2 linked regions of the Astyanax mexicanus genome follow. The protein of the gene in region 1 purifies or fractionates together with the protein of each later gene. This does not show direct contact. Links are inferred from orthologs where the notes say so. Each region holds a gene or a part of one and is shown on either strand. Other genes may lie near its edges. The genes, in order: nsfb and scfd1.

What was found.
Region 2: the proteins of nsfb (region 1) and scfd1 purify together in Homo sapiens (affinity purification with mass spectrometry; 3 studies listed by BioGRID and IntAct, with this or other methods). This does not show direct contact. The link is inferred for Astyanax mexicanus from reciprocal best matches to the Homo sapiens genes NSF and SCFD1.

What each region holds. Positions count from the first base shown.
Region 1 is NC_064422.1:43,947,076-43,963,156, reverse strand, and holds the start of nsfb (N-ethylmaleimide-sensitive factor b), read right to left. Parts: upstream 8,181-16,081; 5' UTR 8,086-8,180; coding exon 8,074-8,085; intron 5,394-8,073; coding exon 5,305-5,393; intron 4,137-5,304; coding exon 4,037-4,136; intron 1,739-4,036; coding exon 1,699-1,738; intron 1-1,698.
Region 2 is NC_064421.1:45,536,059-45,551,303, reverse strand, and holds the start of scfd1 (sec1 family domain-containing protein 1), read left to right. Parts: upstream 1-9,554; 5' UTR 9,555-9,629; coding exon 9,630-9,660; intron 9,661-11,380; coding exon 11,381-11,451; intron 11,452-11,571; coding exon 11,572-11,660; intron 11,661-11,744; coding exon 11,745-11,835; intron 11,836-11,982; coding exon 11,983-12,105; intron 12,106-12,925; coding exon 12,926-13,013; intron 13,014-13,955; coding exon 13,956-14,045; intron 14,046-15,114; coding exon 15,115-15,170; intron 15,171-15,245. Other genes in the region: g2e3 (G2/M phase-specific E3 ubiquitin-protein ligase), read left to right, coding at 461-562, 1,516-1,640, 2,603-2,765, 2,885-2,991, 3,083-3,199, 4,186-4,310, 4,466-4,574, 4,892-5,190 and 4 more. UniProt on the Homo sapiens protein: Plays a role in SNARE-pin assembly and Golgi-to-ER retrograde transport via its interaction with COG4. Involved in vesicular transport between the endoplasmic reticulum and the Golgi.

The sequences.
Region 1 (16,081 bases):
CATATTAATTTAATGTTGAAAGTATGTACTTTTTCATGTTAAGTATACTTTAAAGAATATATACTTAAATGCACTTTGCAGGGCTGTTAAATGTCGTATTTTGGGTTTAATTCTCTCATACTGGCCACTGAACATTTAACATGGCACCTCACGGCAAAGAACACTCTGAGGATGTGAGAAACAGTATTGTTGCTCTATATAAAGATCCTCTAGGCTATAAGAAGAATGCTAACATCTTAAAACTGAGATGTGCAAGGTCATCCATCATCATGGTCTGGAACTACATTAGCTACATTTTTTTTTACGCATCTCAAAAAAAATCAACAATTTATTCAAGTTAATGAGCCAGAAAAGGTAAATCAATTCAATCATTAGCACGACTACAGTTAGCCAAAAATGCAGCAGCTCCAGAACTTCCAGACACCAGAACATATGATCATATTACATCTAATGCAGAAAGCCTTCTCTGACTCCCCATTAGTCTTAAAGTTCAGCGTACGGTTTTATTATGGGTTTTTAAAGCACTATATGGGCTGGTGTCAATTTACACATCAAACCTGTTCCAGATTTACATGCTTCAGAGAGCTCTGAGCTCCACCAATCACTTCCTCCTGACGTTCCTCAACTCAAACAGCAAGTTAAAAAGTGATCAGATCACCTGTGACTGCTTTAAGTGTTACATTTAATATCAGATGACCGTCTTCCTTAATGTTCTTTATGTCTAATAAACCTGGGGTCCATAGGGTTAAGTTTTTTTTTAGTTTATTATTAAGAGCTAATGCAGAAACTATTGTAATTGGGATTGTTTGTATTATATGGTAAGCATTTGATTTGGCATATCTTGTGGAGTCCCACAGGGTTCTATTTTCAGGCCTATTGAAGTGATATTAATTATGACAATTACATAACTAGAAAAGAGAAAAGTTAGTTATATATGCTTTTATAAACATATATTTGCAAAACAACTGGACATTTTACACTGTAAACCCTAAAAAAATGAATTTCCAAACATTATCCAACTACTTTCAGTTGGATGAACATGTGTAGCCACATTTACACTCAGTTGAGTTGAATCAACTTACTTCAATAATAATTTTTGTAAAAAGTTTAGTCTGTTGCCCTTTTTCGCTTCTTTTCTATTGGCTTTTGAGTGTGTCCCCCCATTTTTGACACTCACTGTTAGTGTGTAGTCATTCCCCAAGGCTACCTTAGGTAAAGCTAATATATTATCATACATATTTATTAATAACTGGCCTGGCCTGGACTCTCTCTGTGTTGTAGGCTGTAAGAGCAAGCATCCTTTTCTAAGCTGCTAACTCTGTGCTGGCTGTACACTATACAGAAGAATTCAATAAAATTAACTTAAAACTTAGGCATAATAACTTATGGTAAATTACTAAGGTTTTCAGTAAACATAACTTTAATTTCTATTAAATTATTAAAGGCTATTAAATTATTTCCTCAAATTATTTAAGTAAATTTAACATATTCAGGCTTAAAATCTAGAGATACAGTTACATACAACCAAAACAATCCAAAAAATGAGAATTAATGTTCTGCAGCAAAATGTTCATGCAGCAATTTCAAAATAAGAAACATTAGACATTTAAAAACATCTAGATTTAATATGGCTTCACTTTGCAAAACCTGTTTTTTGCACTGCAAATAAAACTGACGGTACAGTCGAACGGTTCTTACCTTGCACATCTTGGTTGAGAGCGAGGCCAGCCCATTTCCTCTGAGACAGAAAATAAAAGAGTTACACATGAATCTTAATTACTACATATCACAACCTAAACTAGTGTAATTAAACTCAAATCCTGGGGACCCGGAACTGGATTGTAGAGACATGTCATCTGCTGGTGTTGATCCACTGTGTTTTATTATCAAGTCTAAAGTCAGTGCAGTTTTGTTTTCCCACAAAATCTTACAGCACTTCATGCTATAAGCATGCATTTCATTTTCCAGCAGGACTTGGCACACTGCCCACACTGCCAAAAGTACCTATTGATCTATATAATACTCAAATTTCCTTTATTAATGAAATAAAGTTACTTCTCAATGATATTAATTTTTTTAGATGCACCTGTATATTATGATACATGTATCACAATAGATCACATCATATATATCACGCAATATCATGCAAAGATGTGGGTCCATGTGGGGACTGAAGTTTAAAATCACGGGTCTAAACCACAAATATTTGAAATACATAAAACATATTCATTTAAATATAAACACAAACACCAATATATAACCGTCTCTTAACAAATGGCTCTATTATACATCAAATGTTATTTTAGCATTCATTATAAAGGGATATTTATCAGATTATTTAGCCAATAGTGCAGCATCTTGCTGTCAGAGGTGTCAAGTATATATTTAGTAGTGCACCATAGGCCTAAGCTTTTGTTCTTAATAGCTTTATTTTTCCTACATTATTTTTACTTTTATACTTAGATTACTTTGAAACCAGTACTTTTACACTTTTACTTAAATAGTAAAAAGCTTGAGTTGATACTTTTTCAACTTCTACAGAAATATTTTATTAAACTCTAGTATCTATACTTCTACCTACAGAGTAATGAATTGAGATACTTTTACACCTTTGTTTGATGTAAATCTGAGCCAGTGTGAGGAAGTAGCTGCAGTACCTGAGAGGCCTGGCTGCTGCCGGGTTTACAGGTGAAGGAGAGACAGTGAGAGGCAGTGAGAGAACAGAAGCATGCAGCGTAGAAAAAAAAAGCAGAAAGGGAAGAGAAAAACATACAGAAATAAAGCCATAAAAAAGCACTTTCTATATTAGTCTAATTCTGCACCCAATAAGCACACAGAACAGATGGGTTACAGAGAAAGACAGAATAACCAGAGCTTAGATTTAGTCAGTTTAATAATAATAATTATAATTTTAGTAGAGATAAAGCAGGGAATAATATAAAGTAGTACCGTATTTTTCGCACTATAAAGTGCACTTAAAATCCTTTAATTTTACCAAAAATCATCAGAGCTCCTTATAATCTGGTGCTCCTTATGTATGAATTCTACCAGTCAGGTATTAAGGAGCAGTAAAGCCACTTCGCTGAAGTACAGAGCTATAAGGGTGAGTTTTTAGTGTTTCTAGTTTCTCCAGCACTAAGGATGGAGCAGTATTATTAGCATTAGCCGCTTATCTTGCTAAGCACTAGCTTTGACACCGTTCAGAGATCAGTATTATCAGCCTGTAGCCTGATCCTAATCCGGCTAGCACTGTTGGAGCAGTATTAGCATTAGCCACTAACCTTGCTAAGCGCTAGCACTTTCACCTTTCAGAGGCGAGTATCATCGGACTATAGCCTGCTGCTAATCCTGGCCAGCACTGCTGGAGCAGTATTAGCATTAGCCGCTATACACACTAAGCTCTAGCTCTTACACCGTTCAGAGGTGAGTATTATAAGCCTGTAGCCTGATCCTAACCCCCGGCTAGCACTGCTGGAGCAGTATTAGCATTAGCCGCTAACCACACTAAATGCTAGCTCTTCATTTAGAGGGGAGTATATCAGACTGTAGTCAGCACATTTACTATGTTAAAGCAAGCTACGTCGGACAAACCGCTAGCTACCCTGGCTTACCAGGGTTACTCAGTGTAGTGCTATCGGGCAGCATTTACTAGCGCTAACTAGTTAACTAACAGCTTGCTGCTAATGCTAAATCTGTAAATCTAAACTTACTGTAAAATAACAGAAAAGCTTTAATCACCCAAATAAACAGTTTTTAGGAGAGAAATCTATGTAGATTAACGTCCAGCGCTTGTTTAACTTTTAAAGATCTTTTTTTTAATAATTACAGTAAATAATTCAGCTTTACAGCTGAATTAGAAGGAGAACATGGTGACACCCCTGTTCCTTACTAGTGTCGCATAATGAGCCTTATAATCCGGTGCTCCTTATAGTGTGAAATAGGGTAATAAAAAAAAGCAATTAAGCACAGACAGGAATGTGTAGTAATATTTAGTAATAAAGCAGACAGAAGTCAGATTTGTAAAATGTTATGATACCTGAGGCAGGCTGAAGGCAATGGTTCCAGACACCACGCTCTGATGCGTCTTTACAGTGAACACGTACTTATGAGTGGGCGTGGTCCTGATCATAACATGTCTAGAAAATATAAAATACTACATCAGTTACAGTTCATTCTTTAAACACAATGCAATATATTAGTGCTGGGCAGTATGACAAAAATATAAATCACAGCGTTTTTCAAGATTCTGAAGGATTCACTGTATATCACAGTATTTTTTATTATTATTATTATTTTTAATAGGGTTTTTTTTTTTTTTTTTGCATGTCTGGGCTTTTATATAGGTTTGTGAGTAACTGTACTGTTAGGAGTAATAAAATCAGACTTTATTATCAGAAAAACAGCTGAAGTATGTGAACAATAGACTTTAAAAAGAGATAGGCCAACAACTTTAACACAGCTTATTTAAAAATATATATATATTTTAAATAGGTCCATCAACCCTATAAACAAACCTAAAATACTCAAAATGTTTAAGTATTTAAGTATTTATTAAGTATTTATTCTTGAAGCCATTAGAGGCATTACAGTATTTATATAGCTGCTTATTAGTTTATCACAATTCCCTTTTTCCTCCAGTTAACAAATACATTCAGTTCAGTTTGCATTAAAATTATCCTTTGAGCTACAGTATTAATATATTTAATACATATATATTCTGGACTTGCTGAAGATGTGCAATAGATTAAATAGCATTGCAATAATCTAATTTCAAAGTAATAAATGCATGAACAAGCTTCTCAGTATCTATAGGAGAAATAAAGTCTCGAACCATAGCGATGTAAGCCATGACGTGTGATTTAAAACTAAATTTTAAACAACTAAACACATTGCTTGGCCTTTAAATGCATGTGATTTAAAACAATCTGAACATCATTTCTTTGTGTCTCACTTCTGATAACTAGAGCGTCAGTCTTTTCTTTATTTATTTCATGGTATAAAATTAGTAAACACTACATCTGTATCATCTGCGTATTGATAATAACTTCTTTTATATTACCTAATGACAAAAGGTAATTGAAGCACATTAAGATTAAACAATAAAGGCCCAAAAATCGATCCTTGGGGAATCCCACAGTATTATAATTGTGTGTAGAGGTAGAAGTACCTAACGTAATATAGTAACCCTGACCCACGAGGTTGGGAAACACTTTCTTTATAGTATTGTTTATAACATCTGGTGAAAAAAAACTGTGTGTATATATTTAATAATCATGAATATATATATATATATAAAACACTCACTGGCCAGACTTTAGATCCCTCTCATTCGCTACCACACAGTTAGTCAGCGACAGGTCATCTGTCGGACATCGCGCCGCTTGCATGGTCATCTGGATGGGAACGAAAACAAAAACAAGAAAACAAAATTAGACCTTATAAATTATACACAGAGTTCAGATTATGATGGAATTTTACTGGAGAATACAAGACGCAAAAGAGAATAATTTTAAACCAGGCAGGTGAATCCGATTCCAGGTTACGTTCAGTCAGAGAGAGAGACTATGAGTGGTTTTACTATGAGTGAATGAGCTACTGAGCTCTGAGTTTCCTCTTCTGAAGTCTCCATTGCTCCACCAGCCTCTCGCGTTCAGTAAAACTGAGCTGGAATCTCTTTTAGAGGCTGTACGTGTGACGTAAGTACGTAAAGACGCGTGACTTGGCCTGAAGAAGATAAACTCCCACGAAAAGTGACCCGACACCCCAGTTTTTAGAATTAATATATAGTTAGGTTTAGCAGGGATGGTGGTTTCAGCACACTGGTACCATTAAACACTATATTTTATCCATATTCTTCTCCACTCAGAAATGCTTCTGCTTTCAGTTTAGAAACTAAATAATACAGACTGCCACTTTAACCCACACTTTATATCACTAAAATAATGTTTCAATTTGAACATATGCAAAAAAAAAAAACACCGCCACTATCCCACAACAACCAACCTAAAAAGAAATTTCAAATTGCACATAAACTGCATTCTACAATTAAACCAAGCGTATTTGACCAAGATGACAAAACATGATGGGCCTCGTCTCTTTCACAGTACACAAAACTGCATTTAGACAGAGCGTGGCTACAAATATAACCATATAAAACTTATTTCAGTTAAATAAACTTAAGATAGGTAAGGACAAACACAGTAAATCCAATATTAGCAAATATAATGAATACATTGAGGTTTTGGTGTGTGGTTTCCATGATCAGTGAACAGCTGGTGTGTGCATGGATACTGCTGAACATGTTCCAGTCTGGTTGTATGCTACTGTCAGCAACTAGCGAGAGTGCCTCTTTGAGGGGGATTCTGATAACACTGCTGTTGTACTTTCCTGCATTGACCATCACAGAATTTAAAATCCCTACAATATCTTAAAAAGATTAATAAATCATAATTTTAGCAACACAATGTCCAAAAAAAAATGTCCAAAGGTCAATGAGTGCATAAACTGCGTGTTAAGTGTCAGGCACCTGACCAACATTCTCAACATCCCCAGCACTTAGAAGAGGAAGCATGTTTTTAAATGCTGATTTAATCATTCGTAAGTGACAGCAACAAAAAAACAAATCTAGATTTACTGTTTCAACTTTAATCTTTTTCCTGTTTTACTAATTTACATACGCTGTTCTGCAGTAGAGGAACTGATCATAGCTGGTTAAAGCAGTTTATCCTCTTTTACTTTCTCTTCTTTCAGTGAAGAAGTAAAACTCAGGTCACTCAGTTTCATTCCATTTATATCTTCAGAACGTACATAAACTGTCAGAATTTATAGTTATATACACTGAAATGCTAATAATAGATACAACATGCTTGAGCTTTTCTACTAAATAATAGTTTAGAGATTTAAAATATTACTTCAGTTAATAAATAAATAAATAATCCGAATTCAACCATTCCCTAGATTAAAAATCTTATCTAACTCCTCAAATTAGGTCTGTCATTATAACAAGTTTAGTTTGGACAATATTTTATCCAATTATTTTATTTTTAAAATCAATGTTTTTAAACAATGTTCACATGCCAGCACATTCATTTCAATTGGCTCTCATTCATGAGAAATCTATAATGAATGAAGTCTAATCTAAAAATATTAATTTATTTGATTTATAATTTTTATTATGACTTTAATCTCATTATATCAGGACTAAAATCTTGTAATATTACAACTTTACTTTCGTAATATTATAACTTTCACAACCTCACAATATTACGACTTTAATCTCACAATATTATGACTTTTATCTCTTGTAATATTGTGACTTTAATCTCGCAATATTGCAAATTTAATCTCCGATAATGCGACTTTATTCTCATAATGTTTTTACTGTATTCTTGTAAAATTACGACTTTAATCTCGCAATATTATGATTTTAATCTTGCAATATTACAACTTTAATCTTGAAATATTACGACTATAATCTCACAATATTATGCCTATAATCTTGCAATACGATCTTAATTGTGTACTATTATGACTTCAATCTCGTAATATTACGACTTTATTTTTGTAATGTAACGACTTTTTCTTGTAATATTACAAATTAATCTTATGATATTACAACTTTATACTCGCAATATTACAACTTTATTTACACAATATCTCGCCTATGATCTCGTAATATTACGCCCATAATCTTGCAACAATACGACTTTAATATTGCAATATTACCACTTTAATCGTAAACTCAACTGTTTTATTCTTTTTTAATGGCCCTAAAACTCTGTGGTGTAAAACTGGAGCTGCAGTAATCAGTGTGTTTGCTATAACTGCAGTAAACGGTGATTTTAACGCTTTTTAAAGCAGAATTAAGAGTTTATTCATATTAATAATCAGCTGAGCACACAGACAGTCATAAGACCCGCTCCGCTCTCCTTCCGGATCATTCCCCTGCACCGAGCCGAGCTGATCCCCCGGCCAGGCCGCTAAACAGCAGCTCCTCACCCCGCTGTTCCCCCCCACACAGTTCCGTACAGCAGAAACACTAAATAAACTCCGATAAATAATAAATTTACTCACCCAGGCAGCCATGACTGCGCCTTTACCGATCCCCAGCGCCCAAACCACAGCCGGGTTACTGAGAGCCGGCCCACTGATATTATAACGCTACATCACCGCCCACCGACAGGGGCCGCTGGAGAGGGAGACCAAAATGAATGGGAGTGAATGGAGCTAAACAACAAAAACACAAATTAAAAATATTAACTAATTAATTATCCAGTATATTCATTTAATTTTAGAAAGAATAATAAAGTTATCAAAATATCTAGTTATTAAAAGTTTTAAATAATTTTGTATATTTTGTAATAATTTTGTATCCATCTCACTACAAGTACTGTAATCCCTTATCATCAATATTTTTCTCACCTTTTTTTTTATCTACTATTTATTTGATATTTATTCATTGCTACTCTTTGTGCAATAATACTGGTCCACCCTACCATAATCATATCTCTATGCACTAAATGTATATAAATAAATATATATATATATATATATATATATATATATATTTTGTTTACTATATATAATTTTTTAAGTATCTTTTATATATTTTCCTGCAATAGTTTTTTTTTTTTTGTATAAATAGATTTATCATTATTTGTTTATATTTTTTCCTGACCTGATTCTCTGTCCTTTCCTCCGTACTGCTGTAACACTGCAAATGTCCCCATTGTGGGATTAATAAAGGATTATCTTATCTTATCTTATCTTATCTTAGAATTTAAAGAATCAAATGAAAATGCCACTAAACCCTAACGTTATATCATTTTTTTCTATTAATAGTAATAGTTATTAATAAAATGTTTTTCTTTAAAGTAGTGAAACATACCAGTCCTTTATACATTTTACATTTTTAGAAACATTTCCTTACCTTTAAAAAAAAACACTTTTATTGTGGTTATTTCTGCCTCTGCCTGCAGCGTGCTCTCAGGTTTAACTGTGCTATAGGCGAGGATAATGTGTGTCTGTGTACTTTGGTACGCAGATACTCACAATAAGAAGATTAGTTAAACAATAAACAATAATACTTCAAACTCTACTGAAGTAATTTAAACTCAAGTATCTATATGTCTAACTTAAGAGTAATAAATGGAGATACTTACAATTATGTACATACATAACTAGCTCTAGACCAGAATAGGGTGTTTTCTTGGAGTGACCAGCTGGATTTCTAGGCAGCGTTGTTTCCTCAGACACTGTAAATTGTTGTATTTTGCAAATATTGTAAAACCCAATAAACCTATGATTTAAAAATAAAGTAGAATAAAAGATTTCACTAAAGCAACAAAGAAAACTTACCTGTATATTTATATATTTTAACGATAAATAGGTTTTATGCAGTAAAGATGTATAAATTACAGTATATATAAATATATATATTCAATTTAATAAACATTTATGAATACATTTTGCTCAGTTGCTCCATAAAACCCATTCATTCTGAACTCGACAGCGCCCTCTGGTGTCCGACTAACTCTGTATTATTAACGTATAGAGTAGGTATTCTCCTCTGTATATGCTCTCTGTTTACTCACACACACACACACACACACACACATACACACACACACACACACACACACACTACACACAACCACAACCACACGCACCGCTGGATGACGCTCATGCTGCCAGCAAACCGGAAGACTGGATTATCAAAATAAAAGACGCACCTACCAAAATAAGAGTCTGTTTAGTATTTTAATATTTATTTAATGTAAAATCAACGTTCAGTTAAGTTTTTATTCAGAAAAAATAATCAGAACCGTTTTCACATCTTAATTGTTTTTAAACATTTCATAAACAAAATATTATATTATTATTATATTCTCTTTTCACACTTAAAACATATAGAATCTTTAAATTTGCTGCAAAATAATGGTGTTGAAATGCTGTATATTCTACAGACTAAAGCAGAAGAAACACTTTTCTATAAAACCTATAAACCGTTTTCATATGATTTTCGGTTAAGGCTACTGCTCGTTTATAAATACATCAATAATTCAGTTTAACATCCTCATCACAGTTTATACTCCATCAGGATTAAACTCCACCTGAAAAACTCTGCTTATTACATTATATTTTAACCAGCAAATCAGAGTGACCCACAGTGTAACTTAATGTTCACTCCTGTTTAGTTTAAAATTACATTAAAATTAAATGACAGTGATTAAAAACACTAAACTTAACGTTAGCATTAATTAATTTAGCATGTAGCTCTTCACTACACTCTAAAAAACAGAGGTACGATATGAGTACTTTTTTGTACTCGAAGGTACACTCTTTATAATTGTACACTCAAAGGTACAATATTGGTCTTTACGGGGTCAGATTTGTTCCCTCTGAAGTACAAAGTCATTTCTAACAGCAATAAGTACAAATTTGTACCATTTAACCTGCAGCCAAAAGGTACATTCAGTATTCTGCATCACTGTACTAATAAACAATATATATTTACATTGCACATTTTTTATTTGAAAGCCAGACAATTTTGTATCATCAAGTTTTTGAGCCATATTCAGTTGATGATAATGTTTATAATCTTTATAATCTTTACTGCCACAAAAACCATGGGTACAAAAAAGGACTTTCACTGAAAGGTACTTTTTTGTGCCTCAATATAAGGTACAGCCCCAGCGACAAGCTTTGTACTCTTTTAAGTACAAATCTGTACTTATATTTCTTAGAGTGTATGAAGGCATTTTAGGGCCACTCAAAAAAAAAGTATATATATGACTTTATTCTCGTAATATTAGAACTTTATTCTCATAATATTACAACTTTATCCTCGTAATATTGCAACTTTATTCTTGTAATATAAAGACTATTCTTGTAATATTACAACTTTATTCTTGTAATATAAATACTTTATTCTTGTAAAATAAAGACTATTCTTGTAATATTACAACTTTATTCTTGTAATATAAATACTTTATTCTTTTAATATTACAACTTTATTCTTGTAAAATAAAGACTATTCTTGTAATATTACAACTTTATTCTTGTAATATAAATACTTTATTCTTTTAATATTACAACTTTATTCTTGTAATATAAAGACTTCATTCTTGTAATATAATATATATAATCTTGTAATATATTTATTTTCGTAATATTACAACTTTATTCTTGTAATATAAAGACTTTATTCTTCAAATATAAAGACTTTATTCTTTTAATATTACAACTTTATTCTTGAAATATAAAGAATTTAATCTCGTAATATAACAACTTCATTCGCAAATTCTTTACATAATGTTACAACAGATAATTGTGTTTAGCATACAGACAGCAATTATCCAACACTGATTTACTAATATTGATAGTTTGCTAGTTGTATAGTTTCCCAGACAGGGATAATCCCAGTCATAGACTACTGTAAACTATCCCCCATAAACCCACCATTCTAAAAGACAGCAGGTTTAATCCCTGTCTGATAAACTGCCCCGTGGAGTGTAAATTTAGTCTCAGACCGTCTGCAGAAACAGTGTGTTTGGTTAAATCTCTTTAAGATTAGGGATGAGGAGGATCAGACTGACTGATCACTGTGTAATGTGTACATCAGAGTAATGAACACCAGCAGGGATTTAATCACAAATCCCTCTTACTAATAACCTTCATTTCTCAATACAAAAACAAAGACTCTTTTAAAAGGTGCAAATAAATACCAGTTATCAGAAGCACACAAACTCACACAGTACTGTATCCAATAAACGTGAGTGCCCTCCTCACATTTCTGCATATATTTTATATATACTTTTTCAAGGGACAAAACTATAGAAATGAAACTTTGATTTAATTCAAAGTGGTGAGTGTACAGTTTGTATAAGGGCCATTCCATTTATTTGAATGGGAGCCATTTGCATGTTGTAACTCTATTATAATTCCATATTAAACTTGTTTTTTGTATATATTTTTAACCCTGAATCTGACAACACCTGTATTTAACTATTCAAAACATGTACTACTCAATCACAGGCAGCTTTACCTAAAATTTTACAAGGTTTCTAATCCAAATATGGTTACAAAACTCATTTCACATTTAAAAGGCATGTTTAAAAGCAAGTTCATTGATTCCTTTAGTTTTCTCTCAATATAGTCTTTATTTTAAAGAAATATTTGACTGCATGTTCAAATAATTGATATTTTTGACAACAAATCACGAATTCCTGTTACTGGCACTCATTCCTGTTACTGGAAACTCACTCCTGTTACTGACACCCATTCCTGTTACTTTTTATGTTTTGAGTAATAGAAATAATAGATAAAAGTAACAGGAATTAGTTTTTAACATAGAATTAGCAAATCATGAAAAATAGCTAAAAGGTGGCTATGCTAACGGCATGAGGACACTGAGCACATTCTAGTGATTTTCCCCAAAATTCGTATTTTAAAAATAAAGCAATTAGATGTAAAAAATAATTTAAGTAACAGGACTGAGTGTTGAGATTGAGCTCCTTAGTCATTGTTACATTAAGATCAAATATACAGAAAAACTAATGAGGAAACTTAATTTTGGTCTTCCCATGATCTTCAGAAGAACCAGATGATGTCACTTCCTGTTGTAGATGTGATTTCCTGTTGTAGAATGTTCCAGATGTTTCAGATGGTGTAATGTGTTACAGTAACAGGACTGAGTGAAACCCAGGGACACAACTAAAATGTGTATTATTTAACTTAAATATTATGGATTTATTATGAAATGTGTATATTTTTAAAGCATATATGGGATTTGAAATCACACAACAATACAACAATTACATATGTGAAGGAATTTAATAATTGTCTTTCATGGTAAAGTGTATAGTTAGAGAGTGGGGGACAGGTAACAAATGCTATTATTTCAGTGTTCTAAGTAGTTTTTTATTAATGTTTTTATTTACATATCTTACTTTTGCAATCAGGTCATTATACAAGACGTCTATGCTTAATAATAAAAGGTATTTTCAAATATTTTGTGCACATTTATACATTTTACACATTTATTCCCTGGGAACAGAAAAAAAGCACCCATTCAGGGAAATGGCATATAATGCTGCCACACATGCTTGACCCCATCTGAGCCAGACAAGTTAATCTTGGTCTCGTTAAAACACGATAATCCATGCTCTTGAACTGCTTGTTTTCAACAAACTGGTTGCAGGCTTTTTTGTGCATCAGCTACAGATGAGGCTTGCTTCTAGGTCAGTTCCATGCTAACAGAGTTGATGCTTCAGTGTGGGGCGTGAGGGCTGAACAGTGCACGCTGACCTTCCACTTTTTCAATCTCTGCAGCAATACTGGCAGCACTCATACGTCTATGTTTTAAAAAGCCAACCACTGGATATTACACTGAACATGTTGACATAACTTAAGGTTATGAGTGGAATCCATTTTGGAAAACCTCTTTTATGACCTTGGTCACCATGCTATATCTCAGTTTTAGGGTGTTAGCAATCTTCCTAATCTGTTTCCGATGTAGAATATTTACAAAATGCATCTTTTTTTCCATGCTATCCCAATGTTTTTTGATTTTGGGTTGTATATAAAACTCTAAGACAATTCTTTGTCTTGCTCAACTGTAGGGCTGGGCTCCTCGAACACATTATTCTTAAAAGGTCAAGCGAGCTTCACACTGAATACTCACTCTTCCAGTAAAGCTGATCTGAACACTAAAATGTTTTCGAAAAACGCAGCCTGGTGGCTTTATTTAAGGGCGAGTTGGCATCCCTTAAAATAAGACTATCCTAATGTTTTTAAGAGATTATTATCGTTAGTTAATGAGTTAGAAATGCTTAAAAACATTACATAACCTATTGCTCAAAATATGAAGGTAACTTATATGCAGTAGAATGTCAATGTAGTCATTTAATGTGTGAATGTACAAACAATTATCAGATTATTACAGATTAATTTAATTACAGATTAATAATTAATAATGGTAGTTTAATTATTATTGGCAGTTGTCTTTTTATTTATCAAATTGTCTGTTATATCTTTTAGCCTTTTTGTTTATTTTATTTATTTTATTCCCTGTTTTATTTTTGGCCCTTTACCTTTTTATTTTATTTATTTTGTCCTTTTACTTATTCTATCTTCTCTTTTACCTTTTATTTTATTTCTGTCACTTACTTTCTTTTTAATCTTGATGTTATTTTAGCTATTTTTTCATTTTTTAGCCCTCTACTTTATTCATTTATTTCTATATTTTATTATACTAATTATTTATTTCTTGATTTTATTGCTTCACATTTTAGCCTGTCCACTTGTGCTTTTATTTTGAATTATTATATTACCTCTTAATTGAATCTTATAGTGTTTGCTTGTTTTTCTAATGCTTTTATCATTTATCTTTTATAGTTTTGTCTATAAAGTTCCTTATGTTAGCTCACCTGATTGAATACTTAATTTTATGTTAATTTAAATTTAGTTTTCAGTATCTTTTCAGCGCTTTAAGTTGTACATGCTCGGCTGCATTGAAAAAGAGGGTTACCCCTAATGTATAATTAATGATTAAACATATTAACAAATAGGGTAATATTCATATATGCTAGGTTCAATGCTGACTGATGGAAAAGACAAATTAATGGAAATTTCCAGACAGACCTGAAGTATAAAAGTGTAAATTAATGGATTTAATGATTTTTTAGTAGGTATAACCTAATAAATAGCATTAATAAACTCCTTTATAAACCCTTTATGATGGTTTTCTTGTTTTAAACTGCTACTAGAGAGCTTTAAAAAGAGCTCAGCACGTCATCTCAGCATGTGAACTGCAAAACCAGTTCCAGTCTGGTCCTTTAACGTGCCAAATGACAAATATGGCAAACATGCGAGAGTCACCACACAGGTCAGAAAGGTATGTTGGGTAAAATGTTGATTGCCCACTTTATTACAGCTTAGACTGAATTTAATCATGTTTAATAAGCTGCTGTGAACAAAGACTTCAATCCAGACAATTCGATGTAATGTTTAGACAAAATAATACAAACAGAAACACATATATACAGACTTACAAACACATTCACACACATACCTGTACACACACACACACACACACACACCACACATACCATACATACAATAAAGGGAACACATGAGAAGAGGCAGTATGGTGTTTAAAAGCTGACATATATATATATATATATATATATATATATATATATATATATATATGCATCTCAAAAAATTTGAATATCATTGAAAAGTTGCTTTATTTCAGTAATTCAGTTGAAAATGTGAAACTCATATATTATATAGATGTATTAAACACAGAGTGATCTATTTTAAGTGTTTATTTATTTTATTGTTGATGATTATGGCTCACAGCCAATGAAAACCCAAAAATCAGTGTCTCAAAAAAATTAGAATATTATATAAGACCAGTTGGTACTTTTAGCAATGTGCCAAGTCCTGCTGAAAAATGAAAGCCGCATCTCTATAAAAGCATGAAGTGCTGTAAGACTGAACACAGTGGACCAACACCAGCAGATGACATGTCTCTCCAAACCACATCTGATCTGCTGACAGATGGAGATGCAGATTTCATTTTCTAGCAGGATTTGGCACACTGCCCACACTGCCAAAGTACCAATTGGTCTTATTTAATATTCTAATTTTCTGAGACACTGATTTGAACTGGTTTTCATTGACTGTTTGCCATAATCATCATTAATAAAATAAATAAACGATTAAAATAGATCACTCTGTGTGTAGTACATCTATATAATATATGAGTTTCACATTTTGTACTGAATTACTAAAATAAAGTAACTTTTCAATGATATTACATTTTTTTAAGATGCACTAGTACGTATTTAAATCTGCATTTTGTATACTTAAATCAAATAAACTTTAAATAATTAATGCCATAATTTATTTACTTAATTTATTTGTAATCAAATGATACCATACCCACCCAGAGAGAGCAAGCCCAACCATCCTCTCTCAGACTCCAGCTGCTGATGCAAAAGCAGCATGAGCCAGGATTCAAGTGGGCCATCCTTGGAATGAATTTTAACCCTAACAATGCTTTTTGTTGGGT
Region 2 (15,245 bases), on another chromosome or scaffold:
ATAACCTGTTTGTTTAATTATACATTGATGCACATGTACACAATTTATTGTTTTAATATTTACACTGTTCAGCGTTTAATTCAAACATGTTATAACATTTATATTCATTGTATTAACTACTGGTTTCACAGACCATGTGGCTTGTGTTGATAACAAAAAGGTTAGCTAGCTACTCCAACAAGGCTTGTATTATGACAACTAACTGTATGTCAGTGTCAGTAGTGTTCTGAACTAATGCTACTGTGGGAATTTGTGTTTGGTTGATAGATTATATATTTGTTGTAACTATTCTTATTGTATGTTTATCGTATATATATATTATACTGTTGGAAAGCCTGTTAATTTCCCTTTTAAATGGAGCCGCATTTGACAAATCGTCTCGGCCATTGCCAAACAACTTATGTTTATGTTGATTTTGCTTCTGTTTGCTATGTTTATATAACCGCTTTCCTGTTGACAGCTGATGTCCAGTGGAATATTCCAGAGAGGAAAAGAGCATGAGGGTATTCATGGCTTTCTTGTAGATGACATAAAGCAGGAGATTCGCAGATCTTCCAGACTGGTAAATAAACACTTTAACCCAAGTATGATTTTTTTTTTTGGTCACGTTGAGGATGTAGTAACTGGATGTAACTGACAGTTTGTTTTGGTGAGCCTAGCTAAATATTAAACATGCACTACATTGCCATGGTGTTTGGTGATGAGACTTGAATAGAATTGCTTGGCCCTGGAAACCCATTCCATGAAGCACTTTTAATGTTCTTGAGCTACTCTGAAGGCCACATAAAGATTGGAGGTCTGTAGCGATTTACTCTGCAGAAAGTTGGCGACCTCTGCACAGTAGTACCCTGCACTGTCATTTTATGTCATTTTGACACCTTGGAATAATAGCACAACTGGATTTAGCAGTCTGCATGTCTGGGTGCTTGGTTTTAAAAACCTGTGGCCATGGAAGTGACTGGAACCTGAGTTCAATGATGGGTGAACGAAAACTTTTGACAATGTATTGCATGTTTTTTGATACGAGTCAAAGAACAGTATTTCAGAGCAATATACACTGTCAAAAGACATGAGCTACTATTGTGTTTTTTGAATTTTGTTATGTCCCATGGAAGATAACAAACCCTTCACTTAACTAGATGCCAATGTTCATGATCTTTATTGCCCACTGTGCTGCCCTCTGTGTGGTACTGCCTCATATGACACAGTGGAGGAATATCAAATGCCTGCAATCCATCTGGCACCCACTTTCAGACCTTGATAATTCACATCCCTTTGTTATAAACATTCTGGCAGGAGTTTCTGGCCTAACTCACTCACAATATTACACCTCACAACTTATACAGGTGTGGTAGTTCCCAAGCCACCCCTGCAGTAGCACTTCATGATCAGTTTACACAATGCTATCCCCTGATTTTTAAATGTTAATGTTGAATGCATGTTGTGTATAATGTAGGTATCTTTTTGTATGAGAAATACCCCCCAACTCTCTCTTTTTTTCCCCTGCTTATGCAGAGGTGCGTTGCCTGTAAAAAGGTTGGTGCTTCGGTAGGATGCTTTATTAAAAGCTGCAGACAGATGGTCCACATGCCTTGTGGAGTTGAGCAGCAGTTTATCTTCCAGTTCACTGACTCTTTCCCGTAAGTATATTGTTGGTACATTCAGACCAAACTGCACTTTCCTCTTTTTCTGATAAAATCTGTGACATAATGTAGTCATCACTTGAAAATGTGAGATCAGACATGGTACACGTCAATTATGCTGCCTCTGTAAAACTCTCTTTTTTACAAGCTACATGATTAATAGAACATAGCTTGGTGTCATGAATTGTCCCACCTGTTCTGACCTCCATCTAAGTACTGGTAAAATCTGTGCTTTTCCAAATACACCAGTATCTGGCATAACCACCTGTTAAGCTAAGTAAATAAAACTGTAATTCTTAGAAAAACATTTTCTTTTAAAGTCTAATGAGTGCTGAATGTTAATCTACACAGATTTCTCTCCTGCAAACTGTTTATTTGGGGGAGTAAAGCCCCTCAGTTTATTTACAGTAAGCTAAGATTTCCAGATTTCCAATAAGGCTGTGTGCAGCAGTATTAGCATTAGCAGATAACCACTAGTGCTAGCCACAGTAAGCACTAATAAATGCTGCCCGACAGAACTGCACTAAGAAACCCGGAGTGTTCCGGTAAGCCAGGGCGATATTAGCTAGCGGTTCGTCCCATGTTGCTTGTTTTAACACAGTAAACGTAGACTACAGTTCGATATGCTCACCTCTGAACGGCGAAAGAGCTAGCACAGTTAGTGGCTAATGCTGCTCCAGCAGTGCTAGTCAGGGTTAGCAGCAGGCTATTGCTTAGCGTGGTTGCTCCAGTCTCAGTGTTGGAGAAACTTTACTGAAACTCCTGTATAATGCTTTACTTCAGTGGAGTGGCTTCACTGCTCTTTACAACCTGACTGGTAAAACTCATACACGAGATGCAGCGGATTATGAGGTGCACTGGCGATTTTTTAAAAAAATTAAAGGGTTTTAGGTACACCTTAAAGCGCAGTTTATGTAAACATGCATGCTTAACTGAATGCAAAATGTTTTTTTTGCCAGGTCTTTCTGTAAAAAGCACAGACCCACCCAGACCTGCTCTTCAGTCCCCACTCTGCCTGTCTGCTGCTCCATCTGCTTGGAGCATATCGAGCCGGTTCTGTCCTACTCTGTGCTCAAGTGTCCTGCTTGTCATGGAAGTTGGTTTCATAGGAACTGTGTTCAGGTAACTCTATGAGAAGCTTGATTTGTAAAATACCTATTTACACACTGTATATTTACAGGTTATTCTGCTTAAGCAAAGTGTAGGAAATTGTAATTTTGATTTTATTTTTTTCTCCTCAGTATCAGGCACACAGTGCTGCAAAGTTTTTCTTTAAATGTACCCTCTGCAACAACAAGGACCAGTTCCAACAAGAAATGCTCAGAATGGGAATACACATACCAGAAAGGTAAGAAAAGTTATTTGAAAAAAAATAACTAAGTAATTTTTTTTTACTGAAACAGTTCTTTCATAAATATGACCTGATTTTAATCTTTCAGAGATGCATCATGGGAATTGGAGGATAATGCTTATGGGGAGCTGTTGGAAGTGTACCAGCATTGTGATGCTGTGAAATGTTCCTGTGAAAAAGGGCGAGGTTACAGTGCAGAGACAGGGTAAGTGTTTTTAACCAGGTTTTTTGATTCACATGAGTATCACCCTGTTAGCTGAAGGTGTCTTATTCATTTAGTTTATTTTAAAAAGATCAACATTTTGAGGTTAAATAAAAAATGTAAATATATTTACTTAAAAGCCAAGCTATAAAACATGTTACATGTTTATTTTAAGTATTTTTAGTCTCATCCAGATGTGAGTTTTAGCCCTAAGGACATTTTTATTGCAGATGTCTCATTTTAATAAATTAGCCTGATTAGAATTGGCGTAAGCCATGGAAATCTTGTTTTTGTTCTAGGAGATAAAATTGTATTAGGATATACATTAAGCTGTTCAAATTAGCCAATTTTTTTACTTATGTATAACTTTAATATTAATTTATATAAGTGTGCCATTACAAATCACTGAGCTCCCACAGCACCCTGCCCTATGGATCTCGTAAAGGAGAACTCCGGTGTTAAATTGATTTTTGATGTAGTTATACATGATAGAGTACCAACCTTTGTTACATAGCCCACCTTCATTCTCCCGCAGCTTTCCTAGATCCAGTAATTTTTTTTACAGTTTGTCCAAACATGCTTTAGAATGGATGATATGGGGCATATTTTGCCCCCTGCAGATAAATAGCTTTTTACACCGTTATCCAGGCTCAAAGTAGATCCACACCTCATTGGTAGAATCCGGAAAGCTCTCACATTTAAAACGAGGCATTAATAACTTTAAAACTGCGCAAGAAGCTTATTAAAAACCTTGTTGAGTGAATGATATAAGCATTGCAAGGGGATTATATAAAAATCACTGTGTTCTTTGAACACCAAATCACAACACTCACCAAAAAACTCCTCTCTTGTAGTTTTTCTTTTTATATATATTAATTAATGAATATATTAAAAGTTTCAGGAATTGTAGGGCAGCACACTGACATCATTTATTTGAACATATTTGTAGATAAACTGATGTTTTTAAAGTTCTTCTGTTGATGTTATAGGGTTTTTGAGATTGTCAGATGCAAATTCTGTGGATCCAGAGGAACCCACCGAAAATGTTCCTCCCTCAAGAATTATGAGACCAGCTGGAGTTGTATTGACTGCAAAGGTGCAGCTGAAGGAACAGGTGAGCTCACACCATCACTTTTATAAAATATAAATTATATAAATTATAATATATAAACTGAAACAGTGATTTTGGCAATGATCCTCTTTGCTTTGACCAGCAACATCATCGTATGAATATAAACATTTAACTAAACTTTTCTGTGCCTGTGACAGTGTCCACGTTGCCAACCCATGTCAAATCACCCCTGGCAAAGAGGCAAGAAAAGAAGAGATTAATTAAAAGGTGTCTTTCAAGCCTCCACTCGTCACTCATCTCCAAAAGGTACATTTGCAACAAGTTTGGCCAAACATCTTGTGTTTGAATGAAATTTCATTTTTAAATGATGGCTTAATTTTTTTTAAGCTCGCTTCTGTTTTTATTTATTTAATTTTTTTTTCTCTTTTAAATGTAACTGCTGTTATGATCTGTAATTAAAGTGCATTGCACATGGCAATCAGTGCATTTTCCTTGTGTTTTGGACAGGAGTATAATTTACAAATTTGTTGTTGAATTTCATTAATTAAATAATCTCACAACAAAGAGATAATTAGCAGCGTGTTGAAGGGTTCTTACACAGAGATTTGTTTGTTTAATTCTAGGCGCTGTGTGGATGCAGGTCCTGCAGAGATTTTAATGGATCTTGCCACTCAGTTAATTCCACATCAGACCACAGAAGTGCTGCTAAAAAGCGACCAAGTACTTGAAGCTGCCCTGCAGGCTGTGCGGCAGAGTGACTTTAACCCCTGTCACAGACTGTCTGTCAGATTCATCAGAAGCAGAGAAAGTCATAAGGTGGTGAACCAGCACCGGTTCCTCAGCCTCCTCCTGCAGGACCTACAGAACTCATGTGTTTTTGAAGGTCCTGAGGGGTCTAAAAACTTGGCCCTGAATTCACAAGGTGAGTTATTATTAGAAGTAATAGTAATGATGGCAGTAGAAATAGTAGTAGTAGTAGTAGTAATATTAGTAATAGTGCTGGTAGTAGGAGAGATGGTGGTGGTAATTGTGTAAATAATGGTAGTGGTAGTAGTAGAAATAGTAGTAGTAATAGTAACAATAGTAGTAGTAGTAATAATAATGGTAACAATAGTAGTAGTAGTGGTGATGGGGGTAATTGTGATAGTAGTAGAAATAGTTGTAGTAGTGGTGGTAGTAGAAATAGTAGTAGTAGTAGTAATGGTAGTGGTTGTAGTAATAGTGGTAATAGGAGAGGTGGTGGTGGTAATTATGTAAGTAATAGTAGTGGTAGTAGGATAAATAGTAGTTGTAGTAGTAGTGGTAATAGTAACAATGGTGGTGGTTATAGTAGTTGTATTAGTAATAGTAACAATGGTAGTGATGGCAGTAATAGTGGTGGAAATAGTTGTAGTGATAATAATGGTAGTACAGGTGGTGGTAATTATGTAAGTAATAGTAGTGGTAGTAGGAGAAATAATAGTAGTGGTGGTATTAGTAACAGTGGTGGTGGTCAGGTCATAGTAGTTGTAGTAGTAATAGTAACAATGGCAGTGATAGTAGTAATAGTGGTGGAAATAGTAGGAGTAATAATAATGGTAGTGGTAGTAGAGGTGGTGGTAATTATGGTAGTAATAGTAGTAGAAGTAGTAGTGGTGGTGGTAGTAAAAATAGTAACGGTGGTGGTGGTAGTAGTAGTACTAGTAAAAGTAATGATAGTAACAATGGTAGTGGTAGTAGGAATAGTGGTGGAAATAGAAGTTGTAATAATGGTAGTGGTAGTAGTAGTAGTAGTAATAATGGTGGTGTGGTAGTAGTAGTGGTAGTGTAGGTAGTAATAGTAAGTGTGGTAGTGGAGGTAGTAATAGTAATTGTTGTGGTAGTAGTGTCAGTAGTACTGAAGTATTAAACAACAGTTTTGCTAATGCTAATTGTGTTTTATTTGCAGCACTGAGGGATGATCTTTACTTTGAGATTGGAAGTTTGCTTTCCCTCACTCTTGTTCATGGAGCTTCTCCTGTGGCCTTCTTCTCTCCTGCACTCTACCACACCCTGTTCCATTACCCACCTGATTACAAACTCACCGTCCAAGACCTGGGAGACACCACCATAACACCCAAAGTCACGATGGTGAGTCACACTGTTTATATGTGCACATGTACAAAGCTCTGTTATAGAGTTTGTGGTGCTGTTGCTGCTGCTATGTTGATGTTCTGATACCCAGCCTTAAATCTGTTTCAGATAGCAGAATCCAGCTCGTTATCAGAGCTGAAGAAAGCAATGCGGGCTGCTTCTGAGTACTTACAAGTAGCAGGCTGCTGGCGGGAAGTCGAACAACTGGATGATAAAAACGCGCTGCTGGAGGACATTCTGAACTTTTACCTGATCGTAAGAATGGAGATGCCTCTTCAAAGGTTAGACCCTTAAATAGGAATTATTTATTGGCTTTTATGGAAGGTTTAAACTGTGGAATGTCAGTTGTTGTTGTATATTAACTAGTGATTTGATTGACTCTTTTTAGATTTCGTGAAGGCCTCAGGACATTAGGGGTTTTCGAGCGCATCCAGGCTTGTCCAGAGGGTTTTTACCCGCTTTTCTGTGACCCAGTGGAAAGGATGACAGCTGAAGCCATGTTTTCCCTTTTCACTTCGCAATTTTCAGAGAATGAGGAAAAGAAAGCAAGAGAAGAGACAACCCTGGGGTTTTGGAAGCAATACCTGCATGAATGTGAAGGTATGTATTTGTGTTTCCCCATTAGAGTTTGAATTATGTCTGTAAGATAAATCTTACTTTTATTATTATCAGGATTTTATTTTTATTTATTTTTTTATGTTAAAATCAACTAGAACTAGAATCAACTAAAATCAAAAAGAAAATATATATATATATATATATATAATCTCTAAGAACAATGAGTGAGGGAGTTTTTATTGTTTTATTAGTTGATTTTTATCAATTAATTGTTGCAGCTAATTTGTTTACCCTGCATGTGAACAAATAAAAATGTATTGTGTTTTTAAAAATCAATACATTGTTGCAAAATTAAATATTGCGATATTAGAATTATTAATAATACTTTTCTACACACCTAATAAGGTTCTCTCTCTCTCTCTTTCTCTCTCTCTCTCTCTCTCAAACTAAAATGTCTTCTCTTTTTGTTGCAGATGGACAGTGTGCAGCATCTCTAGAGGACATTCTTCTATTTGCCACCGCTACAGATGTGATCCCCGCCATCGGCTACAGCCCCGCACCCATGTTCTCATTCTTTACCCCCCTCGACCCCTCTTGTGCTTTTCCTCAAAGCCAGCCTGAAGCTAACCATCTCATTCTGCCTGTGCTGCCCTCCTACGAGCTGTTCAAAAAGCACCTGGAGTATGCTGTATGTGAGCTGTCTGTGATGCAGGTCCTTTAAAACCTCTGAAGTCTCCAGAACTTTTGGGTCAGAGATGAAATGCAGACTGTAATGGTGCTACTTGCTTACCTTTGGAATATATATCTCATCTGCCACAGCATCGTGGATGTTGGACTATCAGGAGTATATAGGCATTTGTCCTATAAAATCTCATGGTGGGAGAGCTACAGAAAAAAAATACCAAAAAATGAGCAGACTTTTGCATTATTTTCAGAACAGGTTATGAAACTTACATTTTACCTTTTTTTGTGCGAAAAAATAAAGTGTGTAACTTTTTGATTGTGATATTGGTGTGATTTAATGTGGTGTAAATAAAACAGAATGTTAGAGCTTTTGAGATTCAGAATACATATTTATATTTAAACCTCTTGCATCCTCTGTAAACATAATGTTTCTCCAATGTTACACTGTTTCTCTGTGTTCCTCTTTTCTTAGTTTTTGGTAAAAGGTGCTTTTTCATGCTTTTGTTGGTCTTGCCTGTTTATATAGTCTTGCGCAAAAGATTGGACTTGACAAGGGTGGATTTTTGGAGCATAATTTGTTCCAAATGATGAATAATTTTCCTTAAGCTGAAGATATTTTTACACTAGCATTGTACATTATGCATTTTTAAGATGTTTAAGTACATTTTATGTGAGTGCTTTTACATACTTTTACATATATATGTATACATGGAACTGTACTGCAGGAATTTTACTAAGCATTTTCATGAGTCATAAAATGATACCTTTGTAACTTCAGTTTTCCATTGTCATGAAGAATGAACCAGTAGATATCATCCACACTTATTTGTGTTATACATTGACTTCTATTGAAAGTTTAGATGTGTTTTTTTTTTTTTTTTTTTTTTGCTTATATTTACTAGTCTTTAAATACTAGGTATTGCATGTCAGTGGAGATATGTAACGTTATGCATTAAATGCAGTGCTCGTTTTCCCTCAGTTTATGTTGTTTCTGTGAAAGCTTGAGAAATATTCTGAGAATTTGTTGATATCCATAATCATTTTTTTCTGATTTGCAGGTCCGTCCTTCAGTCTTGATCTTCTGAAAAGCATGTAATGAGAAACTGTTGCCCATTATTTATTAAATACTTCCTTTCTGATGTTTGCATTGTCTTTAACTTCATAAGCTGATATTCTTTAAACATGACTATTAAAACATTATCATTGCACTAAATATAATTTTTCACAAAGAATACACTGTTATTTACATTAAAATTCAAATTACATTCTAAATATAGCCATTTTAAATGAAGTTTTATAGATTTATAGAAAGTGTGCAATAATTCTTTAAACAAAATTAGGCAGGAGCATAAATTCATCATGGAAAGTTATCAGGGGTGCCCAATTTTTTTCATACCACTGTAATATCTCAAAATAATGATTTGCTGTCTCAGAATAGTGAGATAGTATCTCAAAACGACTTACTATCTCAAACTAATGAGATATCTTAAAATAATGAGATGGTATGTCAAAATAGCAACTTAGTATTTCAAAATAACTTAGTATCTCAAAATAATGATTTGCTGTCTCAGAATAATAAGATAGTATCTCAAAGTAACGACTTAGTATTTCAAAATAACGACTTACTATCTTAAAATAACGAAATATTATATAAAAAACGACTTACTATCTTAAAACAATGAGAGAGTATTTCAAAATTACGACTTAGCATTTCAAAATAATTATATAGTACCTCATAAAAATGAATTAATATAAAAAATAAGAGCAGTTTACCTAATAAGAAAAAGGTGCACATGCTACTTAATACAGTCTATTGGTATGGTAATTGTAATGATGTTATGGTAACTGTAATTGTATTGGTAATTGTAATGGTAATTGTGGCTGCAGTATTGGTATTTACCTGTGTTATTTAGCTGCGGGTCTCGGTCTCCGCCGGCAGGTGGCGCCCCTTCTTCCTCCTCGCGCTGCCACGTCACCCGCCGACTCACCACCGCATAAATAGTAAAGATGGCGGCGTCCATCCGGGAGAAACAGACAGGTCTGTAAATGATCAGATTTTATATGTTTTCAGCTCTTTAGCTCAGTGAAATGTGTGTTAATGTGGACGGTGGTTTCTGAGGACCCGTCTCGCCTGTAGATAATTCATTAATTATTCGCGAATGTAGAGAGTTAGCCGGTTAACTGTGTTGTTAGCTCGGTTAGCTAGCTGTTAGTGTTTGTAACGCTGAACTGATTAGCCAGTCAGCGCCTTACTCAAGACAGGCTAACTAACCGGATACTTAATAAAACATTTATTTAACCTTCTGAATAAAACTTACAGACTGTCCTTTAACTTAGACTGTGCTTCCCATTTGCCTCACCTGCAGTAAACAACACAGCTAGAATAACTAACTACGTGGAACTACAGGTATCACTAGATAAACTAAATAAACAACCTTAAATGAATGGATAACGCTTAGGGTTGCCACCAATCTCTGACAGAAAACATAGACACTGTCATACTGATGGACTGTTTTTTTCCCCCATCAACATACAGTACCAATCAAAAGTGTGAACACACCTATAATTCAGTGTTTTTTCTTATTATTATTTTTAAATGTCCTGCATTGTAGATTAGCTAAAGCTAAAATAATCTAAACTATTAAGAAAGTATGTAGCTAGTAAGCAAAAAATATTTTATATTTTAGATTCTTCAAAGTAGCACCTCTTGTTTAGATGACAGCTTTGCACATGCTGGATTTTCTCAGTCAGTTTTATGAGGTAGAGTCTCCTGGAATTCAGGCTTTCAGTTAACAGCTGTGCTGAACTCATCAAGAGTTAATTACTTGAATTTCTTGTCTCTTAAAGTGTTTGAGAGCATCCGTTGTAAAGTTGTGAAGAGGTAGAGTTACAGGTATACAGTAAAATAGCTCTATTTGAGTAATGTTCTAATCCAGATTATGGCAAGAACTACTCAGATAAGAAAGGAAAACCTGCTTTAAAAAATTAAGGCCAGTCAGTCTGAAATATTTCAAAAACTTTGAAAGCTTCCTTACGTTCAGTTGTTAAGACAATCAAAACATTATGATGAAACTGGCTCTCATCAGGACCACCCCAGCAAAGGAAGACTCAGGGTTACTTCTCTTACACAGGATAAGTTCATCAGAGTTACCAGCCTTAGAAACCACAAGTTAAATGCTTCACAGAGTATTTTGGTTAGTTTAACACTTTTAAGTTACTGCATGATTCCTTATGTGTTCCTTCATAATCTGGATCCTTTACTATTCATTTACAATGTAGGAAAAAAAACATTGAATGAGAAAGTGTTTTCAAACTTTTAACTGGTACTGTCCATGCTTGGTGAAGTACAATTGTACATAGCATTGAATGTGTTATGGGGTTATGAGCCCTGAGAGAGAACAATTGGCCTTGCTCTCTCTGGGTGGGTACAGTAGATGGCTCTCTCTCTCCCCTTATCTCTCCCAGGGTGATGTTGATCAGCACAAGGCTGCGTCTGTGAGCTGATGTATCAGAACCGAGTCGCTGCGCTTCCACTGTGATGCTACTCGGTAATGCTGCATCAGCAGTTCAAAAAGAGACGGAGTCTGACTTCACATGTATCGGAGGAGGCATGTGCTAGTCTTCACACTACTGGTGTTGGGGCCATTATTAGTGATAGTCCTAATGAGTGTGTTGGGTAATTGGCTGTGTAAATTGTGGAGAAAATGGGATTTTTAATGGACATTAAGGATTAATGATTTATATTATTTACTTTTCAGCTGCCCTGAAGCGAATGCTAAATTTTAACGCCCCACCCCTGAAAAATACAGCAGCTGAACCAGTATGGAAGGTAGTATTTTTTCTTGTTTATCTATTAGTGTTTATTCAGTATTTTCCATATATTGATAATTGTGCCAGTAAGATATTGTTGCTCATTGGTTTGGTTTGTCTTTTCTTCTTCTCTAATTAGGTCCTTATTTACGATCGCTTTGGCCAAGATATCATCTCTCCCCTTCTGTCTGTGAAAGAGTTAAGAGACATGGGGATCACTCTTCACCTGTAAGGAGTTAATATACTAAAAGTGCAAGACACTTTATGATTTTAAATCTGTATGTATAAATGTATTTTTGCTTAAAATCACAGATTATTGCACTCAGACCGAGATCCCATTCCAGATGTCCCTGCCATTTACTTTGTAATGCCAACAGAGGAGAACATAGACAGGATATGTCAGGTAAGGGTTAAAGCTTAAGAATAAGATGAATTAGCTTATCAGAAAATACAATCCTGCTATTTTTATATAATTGTATCGTGCTTTATCTTGATGGTACATGCATCAAAAACATTGTTTTTCTCACTGCAATAACATTCAAACTTACAGGACCTGCGGAACCAACTTTATGAGTCCTACTACCTGAACTTTATCTCAGCAATCTCCAGAAGCAAACTGGAGGATATTGCAAGTTCTGCTCTTGCAGCAAATGCTGTGAACCAGGTGACCAAAGTAAGTCAAACTCATACTTAATTTTATATTTATTACTTTTTTCACCTAGTAACACAGTATTTTTTTCCAGCATAAAACATTTAAACTTTTTGTTTAAATGTTTGTTTGTGCCCTACTTTAGTGATCTATCGGTGAGCCGTCAACCAAGCAGCTTGATTGGCGTGAATTAAAATCATGATTCATTTTGTTAGTGCTGGAGTTTTTCCAATATTATTGTGAGGGCATAGTAATAATAGTATATTATGGTTTAGCAGATTAGATCATTTTGTACTGTATTACAATATCTGAGAGAGAAAGACAGAGGCAATACGACCGCTTACCCTGCACTTAAACCAAAAAGCGACAGGCAACCATTCATTTCCTATGACGGGGCTCGATTTTAGCGCAGCAACAGTGTGCGTTTCTGAGCACGCTCTCTGCTTGTGTGTTTGAGGCCACACTCCTTTAGGTTTTAGTTCCTCCTCTATTCCTATAGTCTTACCTGAACACTCCTCACTTCAAGACCACCACACCCATCGGTGTAGATATATTCACAAGCTCCATTGCTATTTAAACGGGGCAGGCGCAATGCGTGAAAATAGGCTGTTGGTGGGGTGTAACATAGCAATGATCATCGTGACGCACTTTGCGCAGGGTTTAAGATATTATTGTCATTATTGTCACTATTGTCATTGTGCTTATCACTAGTAATCATTTTCTTTTTAGGGGTGCTTTTCTTTGACTTTTTAGTGGTTTTGATTTTGGTATTTAATTATATATTTAATGTTTAAAGTATTTAACCAAACTATGCAAATGTTGTGCATTATCTCTCTTTCCATAGGTGTTTGATCAATATTTGAACTTCATCACACTAGAAGACGACATGTTTGTCCTCTGCAATCAAAACAAAGAACAGATATCTTATCATGGTGAGCTGTCTGCAAGCAAAAAAGAGAAGGAGTTGAAAATGTTTTTATAAAAAAGACACTATGGTCATTGTAGACTTTGGATGGCAGTGATTCAGTATGCTGGGCTGCTCAAGAAACTTGTGAACTTTGGAAGACTTTAATCACCTCTGGTGATTAATAAGTTTTTGGAGAATTTAAAAATACACATATGTTTTAATACCTGTGGTCAGAAACAGGCCACTGGCTTTAGGCCTAAAGGATGGTTAACCCAAATGTGAGAGACTTCTATCTATACGTTAGTGAGATGGCTGTTTTTTTTTTTTTTTTTTTTTTTTTTAAGTTGGTAGTAAGTCTATAGAAGCACTATTTAAACACGTCATCTAAATGGATATACTGCAGGTTTAATCTTTGCTCCTCTGAAAGCAACCTTCAGCTCTTTTCTTTATACTTAAGTTAGAATAACTAAGTGGTCCAGCAGGCTAAGCTCTGCCACTATGATCAGGAGATCGCCGGTTTGAATCCTGTTTATGCAGCTTGCCTACAGCTGCCAGAGCCCTGAGAGAGCACAATTGGCCTTGCTCTCTCTGGGTGGGTACAGTAGATGGCGCTCTCTCCCCACATCACTCCTAGGGTGATGTGGATCAGCACGAGGCGTCTGTGAGCTGATGTATCAGAACCAAGATACATTGCTATCGGAGGAGGCATGTGCTTGTCTTTACCCTCCTGGTGTTGGGGCATCACTAATGATAGGGGGGAGTCCTAATGGGTGGGTTGGGTAATTGGCTGTGTAAATTGGGAAGAAAATGGGATTAAAATTAGAAATGAATAAATAATAAATATGTTATAAGGATAAAAGTTATAATATATAGTTATAATGTTGTGAGATATAACTTTATCTTTCTTTCTTTATATCTGAGCAAATTTAAGAATGAGTGACTGACAAAGTTTCTACTTTTCTTTCAGCGATCAATAAGCCAGATATCATGGACACAGATATGGAGGCTATAATGGATACTATTGTGGACAGTCTGTTCTGCTTCTTTGTTACTCTCGGTAAGTTTTTATGTAGCATATAGACCCTGCTGTAGTTAGTATGTACAACTCTGGAAAAAAAATTAAGATACCACTTCAGTTTCTGAATCAGTTTCTCTGATTTTACTATTTTTAGGTTTATGTTTGTGTAAAATGAACATTGTTGTTTTATTCTATAAACTACAGACAACATTTCTCCCACATTCCAAATAAAAATATTGTCATTTAGAGCATTTACTTACAGAAAATGAGAAATGACTGAAATAATTAAAAAAGCAGAGCTTTCAGACCTCAAATAATGCAAAGAAAACAAGTTCATATTCATAAAGTTTTAAGTGTTCAGAAATCATTATGCATTTATCAGTGTTCCCCTCCTCCATCAGTCTTACACACTGCTTTTGGATAACTTTATGCTGCTTTACTCCTGGTGCAAAAATTCAAGCAGTTCAGTTTGGTGGTTTGATGGCTTGTGATCATCCACCTCCTCTTGATTATATTCCAAAAGTTTATAATTTGGTAAAATCGAGGAAAAACATCATTATTTAGTTGTCTCTTATTTTCCAGAGCTGTATATTCAAAAGAGTGTTTAAATTTAAATCAGTAGTATTCACTAGATGGCAGTATTTCCTTCTAATTGTTTGTTGGTGATTGAAATACTCTGTAATATAGCAATGCTGAAAATCATTATTACTATTGGAAGGTGTTAGATGGACAGTAAATTATATAGATTTTATATACATTCAAAAATCATTTATGACAGTACAAGAATGTTGATGAATTTCTTTTTTAAACATAGATAAATAAATAATAAATAAATTATTTGATCAAATTAAAATGTCCATTAATATTAGTAGATATTACATGAGATCTAAAAATAAAAAATATAAATGAAATCTAAAATGGTCTGTGGCCATGGAAAGGTTTATTACGTTTGTTTAATCTTGATTTATGTGTGTGGGTACTATAGGTCTGAACAAATGAGCCTCTTGTACGTTTTTTTTTTTTTTTTTTGCTTAGGTATAACGTGTACGTGTATATAATCGAATGTGTCCTTTATTTGGCAAGCGAGTAAGATTTTCTGTTTTTCTAGGTGCTGTCCCAATAATCCGATGTCCCAGAGGGAACGCAGCAGAAATGGTTGCTGTGGTAAGCTGCATGGCTCATCTGTCATGCCATTAAAGCCAGACTGAGTAATCATTGTTTGCTCTATACCCTGTGGAA